Linked DNA regions of Saccharomyces cerevisiae S288C. Changing the gene in region 4 together with the main gene of any one other region gives a genetic interaction. Each region holds a gene or a part of one and is shown on either strand. Other genes may lie near its edges.

What was found.
Region 1: mutations in GCN2 (region 4) and RTG1 together harm fitness more than expected from each alone (negative genetic interaction), as found in Saccharomyces cerevisiae (5 studies listed by BioGRID).
Region 2: of GCN2 (region 4) and GCD2, extra expression of one rescues a mutant of the other (dosage rescue), as found in Saccharomyces cerevisiae (5 studies listed by BioGRID, with this or other methods).
Region 3: mutations in GCN2 (region 4) and BAS1 together harm fitness more than expected from each alone (negative genetic interaction), as found in Saccharomyces cerevisiae (4 studies listed by BioGRID).

What each region holds. Positions count from the first base shown.
Region 1 is NC_001147.6:201,485-204,340, forward strand, and holds RTG1 (Rtg1p), read right to left. Parts: upstream 1,035-2,856; coding exon 501-1,034; downstream 1-500. Other genes in the region: histone deacetylase HST1, read right to left, coding at 1-395; bifunctional DRAP deaminase/tRNA pseudouridine synthase RIB2, read right to left, coding at 1,212-2,856. UniProt on the Saccharomyces cerevisiae protein: Required for a novel path of interorganelle communication between mitochondria, peroxisomes and the nucleus, thereby maintaining a functional metabolic interaction between the tricarboxylic acid and glyoxylate cycles.
Region 2 is NC_001139.9:644,360-648,764, reverse strand, and holds GCD2 (translation initiation factor eIF2B subunit delta), read left to right. Parts: upstream 1-1,949; coding exon 1,950-3,905; downstream 3,906-4,405. Other genes in the region: 60S ribosomal protein uL5 RPL11B, read left to right, coding at 1-382; mitochondrial 37S ribosomal protein mS44 MRP13, read left to right, coding at 623-1,642; TOM complex receptor protein TOM20, read right to left, coding at 4,170-4,405. UniProt on the Saccharomyces cerevisiae protein: Acts as a component of the translation initiation factor 2B (eIF2B) complex, which catalyzes the exchange of GDP for GTP on the eukaryotic initiation factor 2 (eIF2) complex gamma subunit.
Region 3 is NC_001143.9:633,897-638,794, forward strand, and holds BAS1 (Bas1p), read left to right. Parts: upstream 1-1,954; coding exon 1,955-4,390; downstream 4,391-4,898. Other genes in the region: ubiquitin-specific protease UBP11, read right to left, coding at 1-1,283. UniProt on the Saccharomyces cerevisiae protein: Activates HIS4 transcription only in combination with PHO2/BAS2. BAS1 is also involved in the regulation of the purine biosynthesis pathway.
Region 4 is NC_001136.10:1,024,555-1,032,053, reverse strand, and holds GCN2 (serine/threonine-protein kinase GCN2), read left to right. Parts: upstream 1-2,004; coding exon 2,005-6,984; downstream 6,985-7,499. Other genes in the region: DPP1 (bifunctional diacylglycerol diphosphate phosphatase/phosphatidate phosphatase), read left to right, coding at 635-1,504; MRX10 (Mrx10p), read left to right, coding at 7,299-7,499. UniProt on the Saccharomyces cerevisiae protein: Metabolic-stress sensing protein kinase that phosphorylates the alpha subunit of eukaryotic translation initiation factor 2 (eIF-2-alpha/SUI2) on 'Ser-52' in response to low amino acid, carbon, or purine availability.

The DNA.
Region 1 (2,856 bases), on a different chromosome or scaffold from region 4:
GAAGTGATATTAGAGTTTAACGCCATAAATAGTTCTTTATCTTTGACGTCGAATCCCAGCAATTTTATCATGAAATAAATGTAGATCGAGTTGACTTCCACTGGCAAAAAATATTCTAAAAAAGTTTTCAAATCGTTGTCCTTCAAAAACAGTCTTGCATTCATAACATCATCTTTAGTGATTGCAGGAAAGATGAATTTGCCCGTCACCTTATCCTTCCCGAGGATACAAGGGTACGTTAATCTCGTTTTCAGCTTCTTCGTAGCATTATTATCTGACTCTTCTTCTTGAGGTCTTTTCAACATTGTCATGGTCAGCTCTCCAACATGAAAGTATCGCCCTTGACTAACCACCAAAATAAAACTAACTATCCGTTGCATTAGCAATATGTTCATTTAGATTTTTTTTTCTCACAAAAACAACAAAAAAGAAGAGAAGTGTTCGTATCACTACCAACGAGGGTTATCACAACATAGCAATAGTGAGAGTCAGAAGTACTTTTAGCTACCATTACCGTACTCACCATACCCTCCGTACTCGAAGGAGCTCAACCTCTTTGCTGGCGGTCTTACTGAGTCATCATTTGTTGCGGCCAGCGGTCCCACGCCAATCCTGGACAGGGCGACTTCAGCGCTGGTGTTCTCTAAGTTTATATCGTTGACAATGGTGCCTGTCTGCTTGGCCAACTGAGTGGCCTTCACCATCAGTTCCACCTCCTCTCTGTTCTGTGTGTCCACTTGATTTTGTAGATGTGATATGTACTCTACCGCCTGTGTGAGAATTTGGCCCTTGTTGGGCTTTCCGTCCTTGGTCCCTGTACCTTTGGCCTTGCTGGACAACCCAAGCGCACCGGGAGTGGATTCACTTAACGTGTCATTGCTACCAGAATTGCCGTAATAATCTCTAAAGAAGTCTTTGGGAATGATACTCAATAGTTCTTGAATACGGTCGTTGATCTTATCTCTGCGCTTGCGGTCATTCTTGAAATTAGCACCGCAGGACCCAGGATCAGTGCCAGCTGGAATGCTGCTCATGTTTGGTGTTGTGCTTTCTTTTGGTTCACTATCTAGTGTTTTTTGTCTGTGTTGTGGTTGAAGTTAATTCCATTCTTTTTACTCAAAATTTTCGGTGGCGCCTTTTTCCGTTTCCAGTAATGAGTGGTTATTGTAGATATGATGTAAGATTACATGATAATATATATGCTAAATAGTCTAAGCTTTGTCGTCACTATTATCGTGGCCTTTGAAGGCAATGATGGTGCACTCCTCCTCGTAGCCTGGTATTTGTATGTAGTTCACACCGTGCGATTCCAGCTTGTTCAAACTTGTATTGTTTTTAACAAATGTATCGGGCTCCATAACCCCCACGAAGACAGTACCAATGGCACCTTGGGTGGCCAGGATTCTATCGCAGCAAGGCTCATTGCCACTTAGCCTGAAGGAACAGGGTTCCATGGTTGTATAGAGCACTGTTCCCATAGGGACTATAGTGGGACAGTTCGGGTGTAACTGCGAGTACTTTATCAAAGCACACTGTTCTGCATGAGTGTTTCCTGGTAGCTCTCTTGAATATCCTGTGGCAAGTACTTGAGTTCCATGAACAAGAACGGCACCAACACTAAAAGCAGTCTTTGTCGGGCCACACTTACCAGCTTCCTTAACGGCCATTTCCATATATCGGCGATGTGGCTCTAAGGCCCATTCAGGGTATTTTGTTCTATAACTCCAGAGAGGTTTTTGCGTATCCGAATTTCTTTCCAATGACTCGTACCGGAAGGCATGCAGCCAGAGGTCGAGATCATTAGTACCGGGATCTGTGTACATTTCAGCCTCGCATTCTTCGCACTGACGGCCAAGCAAGTATTCACCCTCGCTATGAGGATGAATCCAGCTCTCTGCAGGATTAGTCTTGCCAATAGCGTCTAGTTTCAGAACGATGTCATCATAGTTTTGAAGTCCACCGCGGCCCAAATCTGGACCCCAGATATCTGGGTTCGAGTATATAGGGTCATTTGCTATGGGAAATCCCAAGTACTGCAAATGGACTCTTATTTGGTGAGTTCTACCTGTCAATGGTTTACACTTTACAATACTCGTCTGTCCATCATAGCTAACCCTTTGGAAAACGGTCTTGGCATGTTTAGCGTTTTCATCGCTCATCTCGCAAACAGCGTTTAGTGCAACTTTAGGGTTAACAGATCTGACAGGCTTATCTACCTCTACTATACCTATAGGGAACTCGCCCTTCACGCGGGCTACGTATTCTTTGGTGACTTCCCTCGCTTTCATTTGGTCTCCCATTCTATCTGCACCTAATGGAGTCTTGGCTAAAAACATTAGTCCACTAGTTGGCTTGTCTAGTCTATTACATGGATGTACTGAATAACCTAGCTGTCTTTCTAGCATTTTTGTAATGGTATTGAATCTGTATCTGCCCGTTGGGTGCACTGGAATACTGCTGGGTTTATCAATGACAAGGATATCTTCGTCTTCAAACACAATATCTATTGGTTTAGATGTGACTGGCGGTTCATGTCGATGTACTTTATGTGTGATCAGATCACCGTCACGAATGATGGTATCAAGGTTTGCAGGTTCATCGTTTAAGTATACTTTTCCCTCTGCAATGGTTTTGGAATAATAGCTGGGCTCTCGATCCCTGAATTCGCTCACGAATACATCCACCAACTTACGATCTCTCCACCTCTCCTTACAGAAAGTTTTATAAGTGAAAAAATAAGGCTCAATCTTCCTTAAGGGTCCATCAATTGTCACTTCATAATCAGGGTCTGTCTTTTTAGTTTTGTGCCCATCGGTTTGAATAACTCTCAGTCTGAATCCACTCGCATCTTTGACT
Region 2 (4,405 bases), on a different chromosome or scaffold from region 4:
CAAGGCCAGATACACTGTCAGAACTTTCGGTATCAGAAGAAACGAAAAAATTGCTGTTCACGTTACCGTCAGAGGTCCAAAGGCTGAAGAAATTTTGGAAAGAGGTTTGAAGGTCAAGGAATACCAATTGAGAGACAGAAACTTCTCTGCTACCGGTAACTTCGGTTTCGGTATTGACGAACACATTGACTTGGGTATCAAGTATGACCCATCCATCGGTATTTTCGGTATGGATTTCTATGTCGTCATGAACAGACCAGGTGCTAGAGTCACTAGAAGAAAGAGATGTAAGGGTACTGTTGGTAACTCCCACAAGACAACTAAGGAAGACACCGTCTCTTGGTTCAAGCAAAAGTACGACGCTGATGTGCTCGATAAATAATTTGGTCTCGGTATAGTCAGTGACAACATCAACTACTTAATATATAAGAACAAATAAAATATCCCAAAAATATCATATATCCTCATCACATTTGCAAGTCTAGCGCTTCGATGCGTTGTGAACACTTTGTCAATGTATTTAGTTGTATTCATACCCAATTTATTGGCACTTATTTGATACTCACCATGCAGGGTAATAGAAAATGTGCTGAAAAAAAGCTAAACCTTTCTTATTAAGAAAATGGGAACCATAACAGTGGTGATTAATGAGGGACCAATACTGTTGATAAGGGCATTGCACCGAGCAACGACCAACAAGAAAATGTTCAGAAGTACAGTTTGGAGACGTTTTGCATCTACCGGCGAAATTGCGAAAGCAAAGCTGGATGAATTCTTGATATACCACAAGACAGATGCGAAACTAAAACCATTCATTTACCGTCCCAAGAATGCTCAGATATTGTTAACTAAAGATATTAGGGATCCAAAAACAAGGGAACCATTACAACCGAGACCTCCCGTAAAGCCACTGTCGAAGCAAACGTTAAATGATTTTATTTATTCGGTTGAACCCAACTCGACAGAACTACTAGATTGGTTCAAAGAATGGACAGGGACCTCCATAAGAAAGCGCGCTATTTGGACGTACATCTCACCAATTCATGTTCAAAAGATGTTGACTGCGTCATTTTTCAAAATCGGTAAATATGCGCACATGGTAGGACTCTTATATGGTATTGAGCACAAGTTTCTCAAAGCGCAAAATCCATCCGTATTTGATATCGAGCATTTTTTTAATACTAATATCATGTGTGCTTTGCATCGAAATAGGTTGAAAGACTATAAAGATGCAGAAATTGCTCAGAGGAAACTGCAGGTTGCTTGGAAAAAGGTATTAAATAGAAAAAATAATACTGGACTAGCAAATATTCTTGTTGCAACATTAGGTAGACAGATTGGATTTACCCCAGAGCTGACGGGCTTGCAACCTGTAGATATTAGTTTACCAGATATCCCCAATTCATCAAGTGGCGCGGAACTAAAGGACTTGCTAAGCAAATACGAGGGGATATACCTTATTGCAAGAACATTATTGGACATCGATCAACACAATGCTCAATATCTAGAATTGCAAGAATTTATACGCCAATATCAAAATGCATTAAGTGAATCCAGCGATCCATACGACACGCATTTGAAAGCGTTGGGACTGTTGGAAACACCACCTCCTCAGGAATCCACCGAAAAAGAGGAAAAATAGTACCAAAACACCCCATAGGAAATATATAAATAAACATACCTGTAAATACTAAAAAGTAGAACACAGTTCGTCACATATATTGCTATTATTGTATTAATTATGTTTATATTTACCCGGGAATCTCTTCACAATTTTCAGTACCTCTCGCTTTTTTCCAATTTTTCAATTTTTTTTTTTCGAGTTTAGTGAAAATGAGTATTCTACAACAAGGCATCACCAGCTATAGATAATCAGCGTAAGTGCATAAGATCTTATTTTCACCACGTAAGAAATACGTTGTCAAAGAAGCGTCGATAATCAAATTGCTATGAGCGAATCGGAAGCCAAATCTAGGTCGGCTACACCGCCAAGTAAAGCTAAACAAGCTACTCCAACAACTACAGCTGCAGCTAATGGAGAAAAGAAATTAACAAACAAGGAGCTAAAAGAACTAAAGAAACAAGAAAAAGCTGCAAAGAGAGCTGCAATGAAGCAGGCTAATGGTATATCCATTGAACAACAGCAACAACAAGCACAAATGAAAAAAGAGAAGAAACAACTACAACGTGAGCAACAACAGAAAAGAGAGCAAAAGCAAAAAAATGCCAATAAAAAAAAACAAAATGAACGAAACGTGAAAAAGAGCACACTTTTTGGTCATCTGGAAACTACTGAAGAAAGAAGAGCGACAATTTTAGCTTTAACCAGTGCAGTATCATCTCCAAAAACTTCGCGAATCACCGCTGCTGGGTTGATGGTCCCCGTGGTGGCTAGTGCATTATCAGGATCTAACGTATTAACGGCTTCTTCCTTGATGCCCGTGGGTCCAAACGCGTCGTCTACTGTATCTGCATCAGCTCCAGCTTCAACAACAACGACTCTTCCTGCCTCTTCTGCAGCACTCTCTGCCGGTACCAGTTCTGCGTCAACAAATACTCCAACAGCTATACAACAAGAGATTGCTTCATCAAACGCTTCTGATGTTGCCAAGACATTGGCATCTATCTCGTTAGAGGCTGGTGAGTTTAATGTCATTCCCGGTATATCGTCAGTGATCCCTACCGTGTTAGAACAATCATTTGACAACTCCAGCTTGATATCGTCTGTTAAGGAACTTTTATTGAATAAAGACCTTATCCATCCGTCGATATTATTATTAACTTCTCATCTAGCACACTATAAAATCGTGGGATCCATCCCACGTTGCATAGCCATGCTAGAGGTTTTCCAAATTGTTATCAAAGACTATCAAACACCTAAGGGAACTACCTTGTCACGTAACTTAACAAGTTATTTGTCACACCAGATTGATCTTTTGAAAAAAGCTAGACCTTTAAGTGTTACTATGGGTAATGCTATCAGATGGTTAAAGCAAGAAATTTCATTAATTGACCCATCTACCCCCGACAAAGCCGCCAAAAAAGACCTTTGTGAGAAAATTGGGCAGTTTGCTAAAGAAAAAATCGAACTGGCTGATCAACTAATTATAGACAATGCCTCTACACAAATTGAAGAATCTACTACTATTGTGACATATGGTTCATCAAAGGTTCTAACTGAACTGTTACTGCATAATGCAATCAGTTTAAAGAAAAACATCAAAGTGATTGTCGTCGATTCGAGACCACTATTTGAAGGGCGGAAAATGGCAGAAACTTTAAGAAATGCTGGTGTCAATGTTATGTATGCACTTATTACAAGTTTGGATACGATATTCAATATGGATGTGGACTATGTGTTTTTAGGAGCCCATTCTATCCTATCTAATGGGTTCCTATATTCAAGAGCTGGGACAGCAATGTTGGCTATGAGCGCTAAGAGAAGAAATATACCTGTATTAGTCTGCTGCGAAAGTTTGAAGTTTTCACAAAGAGTACAATTGGATAGTGTCACATTTAATGAACTGGCAGATCCAAATGACCTGGTTAATATAGATTACGAAAATCCAGTCGAGAGACGCGGTAATAAAGGTGCGTTATTAAACCAATTTATCAAAGAAAGAAAATTTGAAAAGAAAAAGCTAGCAATGGAGAATAAGCCAAAGGGTAATAAAATTGGCGGTAAGAAAGGATCTGAAGGAGAAAGCAAGGACGCCAGTAATGAAGAAGACAGCAACAGCAAAAATATTTTGGATGGTTGGCAAGAGTTACCTTCGTTAAATATTGTCAACATCTTATACGATTTAACACCACCAGAATATATTAAAAAAGTGATCACTGAATTCGGCGCTTTGCCACCTTCATCTGTCCCTGTTATTTTAAGAGAGTACAAAGGTTCCGCATAAGCATATACAACATTCGTTAATGGTCGTCCACGTGTGTATACTACATATATATTATATATATATATATATATACATATATATATATATTACACCTAATACGATGAAAAAATACATCTAATGAAAAGAATTGTTTTTATCCTTAGCTTTCCAAAAAGCTTGGTATATATAACAAGATTTAGGCTAGAGAAATGATGTAATTATATAGGGCTATATACAGAGTAAAAGAAACAAAAACGGAGAAAAAAAGCAAGCAAAATGTTACTCTCAGTCATCGATATCGTTAGCTTCAGCAACCGCATCAGATTCGGCCTTGCTTCCAACAACTCCTTTAACGAAAGAAGCCACATTAGCAGGAGGCAAGATGGCAATCATTAATATAATATATTCGTAAATGGCTTCAGGAATGGATCTTTGGTAAATTCCCAATAAATCGGCTGGCTGAGGGTATACAGTCAATGCTTTATAAAACTTAGAGGCTGCTTCCAGTTCCTTACCTTGTT
Region 3 (4,898 bases), on a different chromosome or scaffold from region 4:
TTAACTTGTAAAGCATTCGCATCATATGACACTAGATCTGGATAATACTTGACAACATTTTCGTTCGAGAGCTCTTCATGTATTCGTGCTAAAACTATTAGTAGAAATTCCTGTGTATCCTGTTGATCATCTGGGATGTTCAAATCTGGCCTTAACTTCTTGCACATTTTTAAGAATCTATTTGGTATAATCGCTCTTCCTCCATTCAAATACATTTTTTTGAACAAAACGTAAATCGAGCGGGAAAGTTGGACTTCTTTCGGATATTTGTTAGTATTGAGGAATAGCCTATATTTCTTGGTTAAAAACAAATCCCGAAATAAGGTAGTGCCAAACAGACATTGAATTATACTGTTAATATAGCATGTATTGCATGGATTTTGCAGGCCAGTAATAGATAACTCTGATAACAGATCATTAGAATCTTCAATTACTGGTAGATTGTAAGCTTTCGGGGCCGAAGATTCTATGGCCTCGATCTTTCCTTCTTCCTCCTTTGGCTTTTCCACCTTGGATAAAGAGGATGAAGAATCTTGGCTAGAATCTCTGATTTGTGACGAAACCTCCAAGGAGTGCACGGGGGGAGCAGTTGCTGGACTAGACAGCGTTTTGAATAATGCATCCTTTCCAGTACTGAGTTTTAAATACGAGGGTTTTGATAATGCTTCTTTGCTTGTGTAGTACGCCACTTCAGAACCAGCTTCCAATTTATTACTTGATGCTATCTGATTACTTTCCCTGACTATGTCCTCTTTCGAATTATCATTTGTTGGTTTTGTTAGCTCATTCGGTATTTCATGTAGTGAGCCATCAAACTTGTTATGTATTGACAAAGAGGCCATATGAACAGGTAAAGGCCGTAGCGGTAAGGAGTAGGCTCTTTTTCTTTTTATGGTCCTGCAAATTCCGTTTGACTCCGCTAAATACCGGTCAACAATAACAGTACTTTCATCTCTTACCACTTTTAACACATAACCCATCACGTGTTCGTCTTGATAGTCGTTTTTTAGCTTTGCGTAACTGCTGTAGAGATTATTTCTTGTTTGGAATTGTAACGATTGTGGAATAATAAGGTACAGATAATAACAACCAATAATAAATGCTGTCAAAGCTTCCATTTCCTGATTGATTTCTAAATCCCTCAGGTAAACATTAAACAGATGAGCAGCATGGTCTAACAATCCTCTTAAGTTCTTTAGCCGTAATTGCGAATAAAACTGTTTAATATCTACTTCATATACTTTTCGAACTAGGTTTAGAATTTGATCTGGGTTTAATAACATTGTCTTTATGACTTCCGATTTAGCGAAAAGAAAACGGAAAGTAAGATCAATGCCACGGTTATTTAGTTTACTGAAGATCCTGAAAGACTACTAGCAGTAGCAGTAACCTTTCAGAGCTTATAATCAACCTAATGATTACTCAGCGCACAATCTAAAAGGGTTTCTCAACTAATTCTCGAAGAAATGTCAATCCCTTTTTTAAGCACTCCGGAAAAACTTTATAATAGATGTGGGGAAATCACCTTTGACGATGTGCAACGGAGAAACTATTTTTTTTTTTCTTTTTTTCTTTTTTTTTTTTTTTTTGGTCCGAACAATGCGATGAGCCAGACGAAGAAAAAAATAAAAAATGAGAATGAGTAATTATGTTAAGACCTTTAGAAGAAATAGGGTCCAGTCACAGAATAAAGCCCCAGGAAACTTTAAAGCAATCGAAATTAACCAGCTATATTTATATAATAAGAAATTTTTCTTATTAGTTTACTATAAAGGACTAGTGTACGTTTTTTGTGTTTAATTATTTGCTTTCTGATAATCCGGTTTGCTGATTTGAATCGTTCTCTGCAACAATTGTTGATCTCTAGTGGGGTAAACAAAATTAGTTTTGTTTAAAACTTTTGTTGTAGCGTTTTTGCTCTTTTTTTTTTATCGCAGAATACATTTTATCGAGAATGTCGAATATAAGTACCAAAGATATACGAAAAAGTAAGCCAAAAAGAGGATCCGGCTTCGATTTACTTGAAGTGACTGAATCACTTGGCTATCAGACACACAGGAAAAATGGAAGAAATTCATGGTCAAAGGACGACGATAATATGCTACGATCGCTAGTAAACGAATCCGCAAAGGAGTTAGGCTATGAGAATGGACTTGAAGACGTAAAAACAATTCAACAATCCAACCATCTTTCTAAATGTATTGCTTGGGATGTTTTAGCTACACGATTCAAACACACCGTAAGAACTTCAAAGGATGTAAGAAAGCGTTGGACAGGATCTCTGGACCCAAACTTGAAGAAAGGTAAATGGACACAAGAAGAGGATGAGCAGCTCTTGAAAGCTTATGAAGAACATGGGCCTCACTGGCTGAGTATCTCCATGGATATCCCTGGAAGAACAGAGGATCAATGTGCGAAAAGGTACATTGAAGTGTTGGGACCTGGAAGTAAAGGTAGATTAAGAGAATGGACGCTCGAGGAAGATTTAAATCTGATAAGTAAAGTGAAGGCATACGGCACGAAATGGAGAAAGATTTCGTCGGAAATGGAATTCAGACCAAGTTTAACGTGCAGGAACAGATGGCGGAAAATTATTACTATGGTTGTGCGAGGACAAGCATCAGAAGTAATAACAAAGGCTATAAAAGAAAACAAGAACATAGACATGACAGACGGAAAACTCCGACAACATCCAATCGCCGATTCTGATATACGCTCAGATTCTACACCGAATAAAGAAGAACAGTTGCAGCTATCTCAACAGAACAACCCTTCATTGATAAAGCAGGATATATTGAATGTTAAAGAGAACGAATCGAGCAAACTACCAAGATTAAAGGATAATGATGGACCCATTTTAAATGACAGCAAGCCACAAGCATTACCTCCCTTAAAAGAGATATCTGCACCTCCACCAATCAGGATGACGCAAGTCGGTCAGACTCATACCAGTGGTAGCATTAGGAGCAAAGTATCTTTACCAATTGAAGGTCTTTCTCAAATGAACAAGCAAAGTCCTGGAGGAATCTCAGATAGCCCACAGACAAGCCTTCCCCCAGCATTCAATCCAGCATCTCTCGATGAGCATATGATGAATAGTAATAGTATTTCAGATTCTCCGAAGCATGCTTATTCTACTGTGAAAACTAGAGAACCAAATTCCTCTAGCACACAATGGAAATTTACATTAAAAGATGGTCAAGGTTTGTCAATTTCTAACGGAACTATTGACAGCACAAAATTAGTAAAAGAATTGGTTGACCAAGCTAAGAAGTACTCTTTAAAAATTTCGATACATCAACATATTCACAATCATTATGTTACATCCACAGACCATCCTGTCAGCAGCAATACTGGATTGTCAAATATAGGAAATATAAATGGAAACCCTCTATTAATGGATAGTTTCCCACATATGGGTAGACAACTGGGAAATGGTCTTCCAGGGTTAAATTCAAATAGTGACACTTTTAACCCAGAATATAGGACTTCTCTGGACAACATGGATAGCGATTTTTTATCAAGAACACCCAACTATAACGCATTCAGCTTGGAAGCAACTTCACACAATCCCGCTGACAATGCAAATGAACTTGGTTCACAAAGCAATAGAGAAACAAACAGCCCGTCTGTATTTTATCCTCAAGCAAATACATTGATCCCAACTAATTCTACCGCTACAAATAATGAAATCATTCAAGGAAACGTTAGTGCTAATAGTATGTCACCGAATTTCAATGGAACAAATGGCAAGGCACCAAGTTCGACGGCATCATATACAACGAGCGGTTCAGAAATGCCACCTGATGTAGGTCCTAATAGAATAGCGCATTTCAACTATTTGCCACCAACTATACGGCCTCATTTAGGCTCATCAGATGCGACAAGAGGTGCTGACTTGAATAAGTTACTCAATCCATCTCCAAATTCAGTAAGAAGTAACGGCAGTAAAACTAAGAAAAAAGAAAAAAGAAAAAGTGAATCATCTCAGCATCATTCTTCATCATCTGTGACAACCAATAAATTCAATCACATTGATCAGTCGGAGATATCAAGGACTACATCCAGATCTGATACTCCATTGAGAGATGAAGACGGCCTGGATTTTTGGGAAACGTTAAGATCCTTGGCTACTACGAATCCAAATCCTCCAGTTGAAAAGTCAGCTGAAAATGATGGTGCCAAGCCTCAAGTGGTACATCAAGGGATTGGCTCACATACAGAAGATAGCAGCCTAGGTTCCCATAGCGGAGGATACGATTTTTTTAACGAACTGTTGGATAAAAAGGCAGATACACTGCATAATGAGGCTAAGAAGACGAGCGAGCATGATATGACGTCAGGAGGTTCTACCGATAATGGGTCAGTCCTGCCACTGAATCCTAGTTGAGAAGGCAAGGCCGAAAAAAAACACAAATCTTTCAATTGTTTAACATATTAGTTTTGTAATAAGCATAAGTGTATATTATACATAGCACAAGATGGATAATATTCTCTGAAAAAAACGTGTAGTTTCATGACTCGCATTTTTTTTTTTTTTTCTTTCATGTTGATTAACATACTTGAATTCTGTATTTAAGCTGTATAAAAAGTTGTTCTATTTCATATACGGCGATTTTGCATAATTAAGAACTTTGCCTTGTACACTATTTTACTAGGGTATTCTTCCAAGATTTCTCTTCTTATTTTTTCCCTTTATAAGTCATTGTAGCAACATAATTTCCTGGAAATTTTAAGGGAATATATTTCTTTCCGCCCACAAACACAAAGGGCGTTTAGTAAATTATGCGGCGATGTATAAAAGAGAAAGCAGGCAAAAAGAAAATGAAAAATGAGACTATGAACTTTAAGAATTATGTCTTGACTAATTTTTTAAAACCCATCATCCATGAAGAGTT
Region 4 (7,499 bases):
GCTTTTAAGTGAGAATCTTATTCTTAGTCTACATCGTTACATTGTATCAGTCACAGGTACGGAGAGAAATTATACTTTTCGATTTCATTCAATGTAGTTTCTTTTTTACATTAAATATAGTTTTCCAGTAGTGCACTATTATTAAGGCGCTTCTGTTTTTAGTCAACACTTTTTCAGATAGTACCTTTCAGGTGGTTAGAGTGCGATCCCTTTAAAAAAAAGTATTCGTCAACGATGACAGGGTAAAGAATAAATGCAGCACGCCTGGCGTATACTGCTATAATTGTACATCATGTTATCGGCGTTGATTCTCAATTGTTTGGTGATTAGCTTTTATATATAGATAGAAACCCAACGTTGGATAACCTCACGACTAACTTTTTTGTATTTTAGAAATAATTTGTCGATCGGTTGTATATTTTTGTCATATATTATCTAGAAACGTTAGGGAATAAACTGTTATCTAGGGTCCACTAACATACGCGCAGTTCGGAAATCAGCAAACATCACTTAAAGGACACCTGCTATAAACTGAATTGTGTCCAATTTTTCGAGTAGTTAGCAGTTCAATAAAGGGCACGTTATCAATTGTTAAAGGCAAAGAATCAGAATTAAATCATAGCAAACGACCAAAATGAACAGAGTTTCGTTTATTAAAACGCCTTTCAACATAGGGGCGAAATGGAGATTAGAAGATGTCTTTTTGCTCATTATCATGATACTTCTTAACTACCCAGTGTATTACCAACAACCGTTCGAACGTCAGTTTTACATTAACGATCTCACTATATCGCATCCTTATGCGACAACTGAACGTGTAAATAACAACATGTTGTTTGTTTATAGTTTTGTCGTGCCATCTTTAACCATATTGATAATTGGTTCCATTTTGGCCGATAGAAGACATTTGATTTTTATTTTGTACACATCTCTCCTTGGTTTATCACTCGCTTGGTTCAGTACGAGTTTCTTTACAAACTTCATCAAGAATTGGATTGGAAGACTAAGACCAGATTTTCTAGATCGTTGCCAACCTGTTGAAGGCTTGCCATTGGACACTTTATTTACTGCAAAAGATGTGTGTACGACTAAGAATCACGAACGTCTGTTGGATGGGTTTAGGACAACTCCGTCAGGTCATTCAAGTGAAAGCTTTGCAGGACTGGGTTATTTGTACTTCTGGCTATGTGGGCAACTTTTGACTGAATCACCGTTGATGCCTTTATGGAGAAAAATGGTGGCCTTTCTACCACTGTTAGGAGCTGCACTAATTGCTCTATCCAGAACTCAAGATTACAGACATCATTTCGTCGATGTAATTTTAGGGTCTATGTTGGGTTATATAATGGCACACTTTTTCTACAGAAGAATCTTCCCACCCATTGATGATCCTCTTCCGTTCAAACCATTGATGGACGATTCAGATGTCACCCTGGAGGAAGCAGTCACCCATCAGAGGATCCCGGATGAGGAATTACATCCTTTGTCCGATGAAGGTATGTAAGAATAAAAAAGAATATATACTCCACATGACATACGAAATATACGTATTTATTGTTCTGTATGGAATAACAGCGATTACATAAAGATGACATGTTACTTCTTTATTCAAATTAATCTTGACGTGCAAGGGCCTGCTTGTTATTTCATCGGACAATCCCAACATCACTTTACACGAAAGCCTTAGAAGTTTATTATTTGTTTTAAGTTGGACTATAGTGATGTAGGTAGTTTCTTAGGAAGCAGTTGAGTAGCTGATTTTTGAGATAAGAACCTGGTGTAATCAATCTATAAACAGCCTAGAATCTTTTTAAGCAAATTTACTTTTACATTTATCTCTATCTTCTTTCTTACAAGAAGTTATTTTCATTACAAAAGGACATTAAATACACTAAATTTTCAATCTTTACATTGTTGGAAAGCCTCGTTGTCTTTTAAGATTTTATAAGCATTGATTTTTTTTTTCAATAATTTTCCGTTCCCCTTAACACATACTATGTATAAATGTCATTGAGTCATCTCACTTTAGATCAATATTATGAAATACAGTGCAACGAACTTGAAGCGATACGTTCCATTTATATGGATGACTTTACTGACTTAACTAAAAGAAAGTCTAGCTGGGATAAGCAGCCACAGATTATATTCGAAATTACGCTTCGATCTGTTGACAAAGAGCCGGTTGAATCTTCTATAACATTACATTTTGCGATGACCCCAATGTATCCTTATACCGCTCCAGAAATAGAATTCAAAAATGTACAAAATGTAATGGATAGTCAATTGCAAATGCTGAAAAGTGAATTTAAGAAAATCCACAACACCTCCCGAGGCCAAGAGATTATATTTGAAATTACATCTTTTACTCAAGAAAAACTGGACGAATTTCAAAATGTGGTAAATACACAGTCCTTGGAAGATGATCGATTACAAAGAATCAAAGAAACTAAAGAACAATTAGAAAAGGAAGAAAGAGAAAAACAACAGGAAACAATAAAAAAAAGATCAGATGAGCAGCGAAGGATAGATGAAATTGTTCAAAGAGAGTTGGAGAAAAGACAAGATGATGATGATGATTTGCTATTCAACAGAACAACCCAGTTAGATTTACAACCACCTTCAGAATGGGTTGCATCAGGTGAAGCTATTGTCTTTTCAAAAACTATAAAGGCAAAATTGCCTAATAACTCAATGTTCAAGTTTAAAGCAGTTGTAAATCCTAAGCCAATAAAACTGACATCAGATATATTTAGTTTTTCCAAACAATTTCTTGTGAAGCCTTATATACCACCAGAATCTCCGTTGGCAGATTTTTTAATGTCTTCTGAAATGATGGAAAATTTCTACTATTTGCTATCTGAAATTGAATTGGATAATAGCTATTTCAACACAAGTAATGGAAAAAAAGAAATAGCAAATTTAGAGAAAGAGTTAGAGACGGTGTTGAAAGCTAAGCATGACAATGTGAATCGATTGTTCGGTTATACGGTGGAGCGCATGGGGAGAAATAATGCAACGTTTGTTTGGAAAATAAGACTCTTGACAGAGTACTGTAACTACTATCCATTGGGAGATTTGATACAATCTGTTGGATTTGTTAACTTAGCAACAGCGCGTATTTGGATGATTAGATTGCTTGAAGGATTGGAGGCCATACACAAATTGGGAATTGTTCATAAATGTATCAACTTAGAAACCGTGATCCTGGTGAAGGATGCAGATTTTGGAAGCACTATTCCCAAGTTAGTTCACTCCACTTATGGCTACACTGTTTTGAATATGCTATCGAGATATCCAAATAAAAATGGTTCTTCGGTTGAGTTATCTCCAAGTACATGGATAGCCCCTGAGTTGTTGAAATTCAATAACGCCAAACCTCAAAGATTAACTGATATTTGGCAACTTGGTGTTTTGTTTATCCAGATAATCAGTGGATCTGATATAGTGATGAATTTTGAAACGCCTCAAGAATTCCTAGATTCAACAAGTATGGATGAAACTTTATATGATCTTCTTTCGAAAATGCTTAATAACGATCCGAAGAAAAGATTAGGAACATTAGAACTACTGCCCATGAAATTCTTAAGGACCAATATTGACTCTACAATCAATCGATTTAACTTAGTTTCCGAAAGTGTCAATTCTAATTCCTTGGAGTTAACTCCTGGAGATACCATAACCGTTCGGGGCAATGGAGGTAGAACACTTTCACAATCGAGTATACGAAGAAGATCATTTAATGTTGGTTCCAGATTCTCTTCTATAAATCCTGCAACGCGATCACGATATGCTTCTGACTTTGAAGAGATTGCAGTTTTAGGCCAGGGCGCATTTGGACAAGTTGTCAAGGCACGTAATGCTCTCGATAGCAGATACTATGCGATCAAGAAGATTAGACATACAGAAGAAAAGTTATCTACTATATTGAGTGAAGTAATGCTGTTAGCAAGCTTAAATCATCAATATGTTGTGCGTTACTATGCTGCATGGTTAGAAGAAGACAGTATGGATGAAAACGTTTTTGAATCAACTGATGAAGAAAGTGACTTGAGCGAATCTTCCTCTGATTTTGAGGAAAATGATTTATTAGATCAAAGCAGTATTTTTAAAAATAGAACAAATCACGATTTGGATAATAGTAACTGGGATTTCATATCGGGGTCAGGATATCCGGATATTGTCTTTGAAAATAGTTCTCGTGATGATGAAAATGAAGATCTAGACCATGATACTTCCTCGACTTCCTCGAGCGAAAGTCAAGATGATACTGATAAAGAATCAAAGAGTATCCAGAACGTTCCAAGAAGGAGGAATTTTGTAAAACCGATGACTGCTGTTAAGAAGAAAAGTACGCTTTTTATTCAAATGGAGTACTGTGAAAATAGAACGCTATATGATTTGATCCATTCTGAAAATTTAAATCAACAACGTGATGAATATTGGAGGTTATTTCGACAAATTTTGGAAGCACTGAGTTATATACATTCCCAGGGTATCATTCATAGGGATCTGAAGCCAATGAATATTTTTATAGATGAATCGAGAAATGTTAAAATCGGTGATTTTGGGTTAGCTAAGAACGTCCATAGATCTCTGGATATACTTAAGCTAGATTCACAGAATTTGCCAGGCAGCTCAGATAATTTAACATCCGCCATTGGTACAGCAATGTATGTTGCTACTGAAGTTTTAGATGGTACAGGTCACTATAATGAAAAGATTGATATGTATTCACTTGGAATCATTTTTTTTGAAATGATCTATCCTTTCAGTACAGGTATGGAGAGAGTTAATATTTTGAAAAAGTTACGATCAGTGTCGATAGAATTTCCTCCTGATTTCGACGATAATAAGATGAAAGTTGAAAAGAAAATTATAAGGTTACTCATAGACCATGATCCCAATAAAAGGCCTGGTGCTAGGACATTATTAAATAGTGGTTGGCTTCCTGTGAAGCATCAGGATGAAGTAATCAAAGAGGCTTTAAAAAGTTTGTCGAATCCTTCATCCCCTTGGCAACAGCAAGTTCGAGAAAGTTTATTTAACCAATCTTACAGTCTAACAAATGATATTCTATTTGATAACTCAGTTCCAACATCCACTCCTTTCGCAAACATTCTCAGGTCCCAAATGACAGAAGAGGTAGTTAAAATTTTCAGGAAACATGGAGGAATTGAAAATAATGCTCCTCCGAGGATTTTTCCAAAGGCCCCCATATACGGTACGCAGAATGTATATGAAGTGCTTGACAAGGGCGGTACCGTCTTGCAGTTACAATATGATTTAACTTATCCTATGGCTAGGTATCTATCTAAAAATCCAAGTCTGATTTCTAAGCAATATAGGATGCAGCACGTTTACCGACCTCCTGATCATTCAAGGTCAAGTTTGGAACCTAGAAAGTTTGGTGAGATTGACTTCGACATAATTTCAAAATCTTCCTCAGAGTCAGGATTTTATGATGCAGAAAGCTTGAAAATTATCGATGAAATATTAACCGTATTTCCTGTATTTGAGAAAACAAACACTTTTTTCATATTAAATCATGCTGATATTTTGGAGAGTGTTTTCAACTTTACAAATATTGATAAAGCCCAAAGGCCTCTAGTTTCACGAATGTTGTCGCAAGTAGGCTTTGCAAGGTCCTTCAAGGAAGTAAAGAATGAACTAAAGGCGCAACTGAACATATCTTCTACGGCATTGAATGATTTGGAGTTATTTGATTTTAGACTGGACTTCGAAGCAGCCAAAAAACGCCTGTATAAATTGATGATTGATAGTCCGCATCTAAAAAAAATTGAGGACTCTTTGTCCCATATATCAAAGGTTCTCAGTTACCTAAAACCCTTAGAAGTTGCAAGAAATGTTGTGATATCTCCTTTGAGTAACTACAATAGCGCTTTTTACAAAGGAGGTATCATGTTTCATGCAGTTTATGACGATGGATCCTCACGTAATATGATAGCTGCTGGAGGGAGGTATGACACTTTGATATCCTTTTTTGCCAGACCATCAGGAAAAAAGAGCAGCAATACTCGTAAGGCTGTAGGTTTCAACTTAGCGTGGGAAACAATATTCGGTATAGCCCAAAACTATTTCAAACTCGCTTCTGGAAATAGGATAAAGAAGAGAAATAGGTTTTTGAAAGATACAGCTGTTGATTGGAAGCCAAGCAGGTGTGATGTATTGATATCGAGTTTTTCGAACTCTTTGTTGGACACAATCGGGGTTACAATACTGAATACATTGTGGAAGCAAAACATTAAAGCGGATATGTTAAGGGATTGTTCCTCGGTGGATGATGTCGTTACTGGCGCTCAACAGGATGGTATAGACTGGATTTTGCTGATTAAGCAACAAGCGTATCCACTAACCAATCACAAGAGAAAGTACAAGCCATTAAAAATAAAAAAATTGAGCACTAATGTTGACATAGATTTAGATCTTGATGAGTTTTTAACCTTGTACCAACAAGAAACTGGTAATAAATCTTTGATCAACGATAGTCTCACTTTGGGCGATAAGGCTGATGAATTTAAAAGATGGGATGAAAACAGCAGTGCCGGTAGTAGTCAAGAAGGTGACATAGATGATGTTGTTGCTGGTTCGACTAATAATCAAAAGGTAATTTATGTTCCAAACATGGCTACAAGATCTAAGAAAGCTAATAAAAGGGAAAAGTGGGTTTATGAGGATGCAGCCAGAAATTCTTCGAATATGATATTACACAATTTATCCAATGCACCAATTATCACTGTTGATGCCTTAAGAGATGAAACTTTAGAAATAATCTCAATTACTTCTTTGGCTCAGAAGGAAGAATGGCTGAGAAAAGTTTTTGGGTCAGGTAATAACTCGACTCCTAGAAGCTTTGCCACGAGCATTTATAATAACCTCTCCAAAGAGGCTCATAAAGGGAATAGGTGGGCAATATTATACTGCCACAAAACCGGAAAATCATCTGTTATCGATTTACAGAGGTAGGCCTTTAAAGATCTGTGCGGCGCTATAACGCATCAGTTAAAGGTAAAGTATATACAATGTCTTAGATACTATATTTAGGCTAGCTGATTCATCTAATTCACCGTTGTAAAGGGGGTAGGTCACCTTTCTTATACATATTCCTGATACTAAAGACAAATGTAGGTTTAATGAGATGGTCTACTTCTTCTCTCCTTTCTCTACTTTCCATTTTGTATTTAATTTTTCGGTGAATATAAATGTGTGCGTATGTTGTGTGAGGCTCCTCTAGCTCCTACGGGAGACATTTAATAAATGATCATAATATGGCGTGAAGAATGCTTTCATTCAGAAGTTTGACTAGCACATTCGGTTTCGTATCACGATTCCAAATTAGACGGTTAGGAACTAGTTTATCAATACAGAATTTAGAAGTGCAAGATGGCCGTTGGAAAGGTAAACTAGCTACAGAGAAGAAGACCAATAGGGAACACAAGTCAGTGGATACGAATATCAAGACAATGAAGATGCTTAAAAAC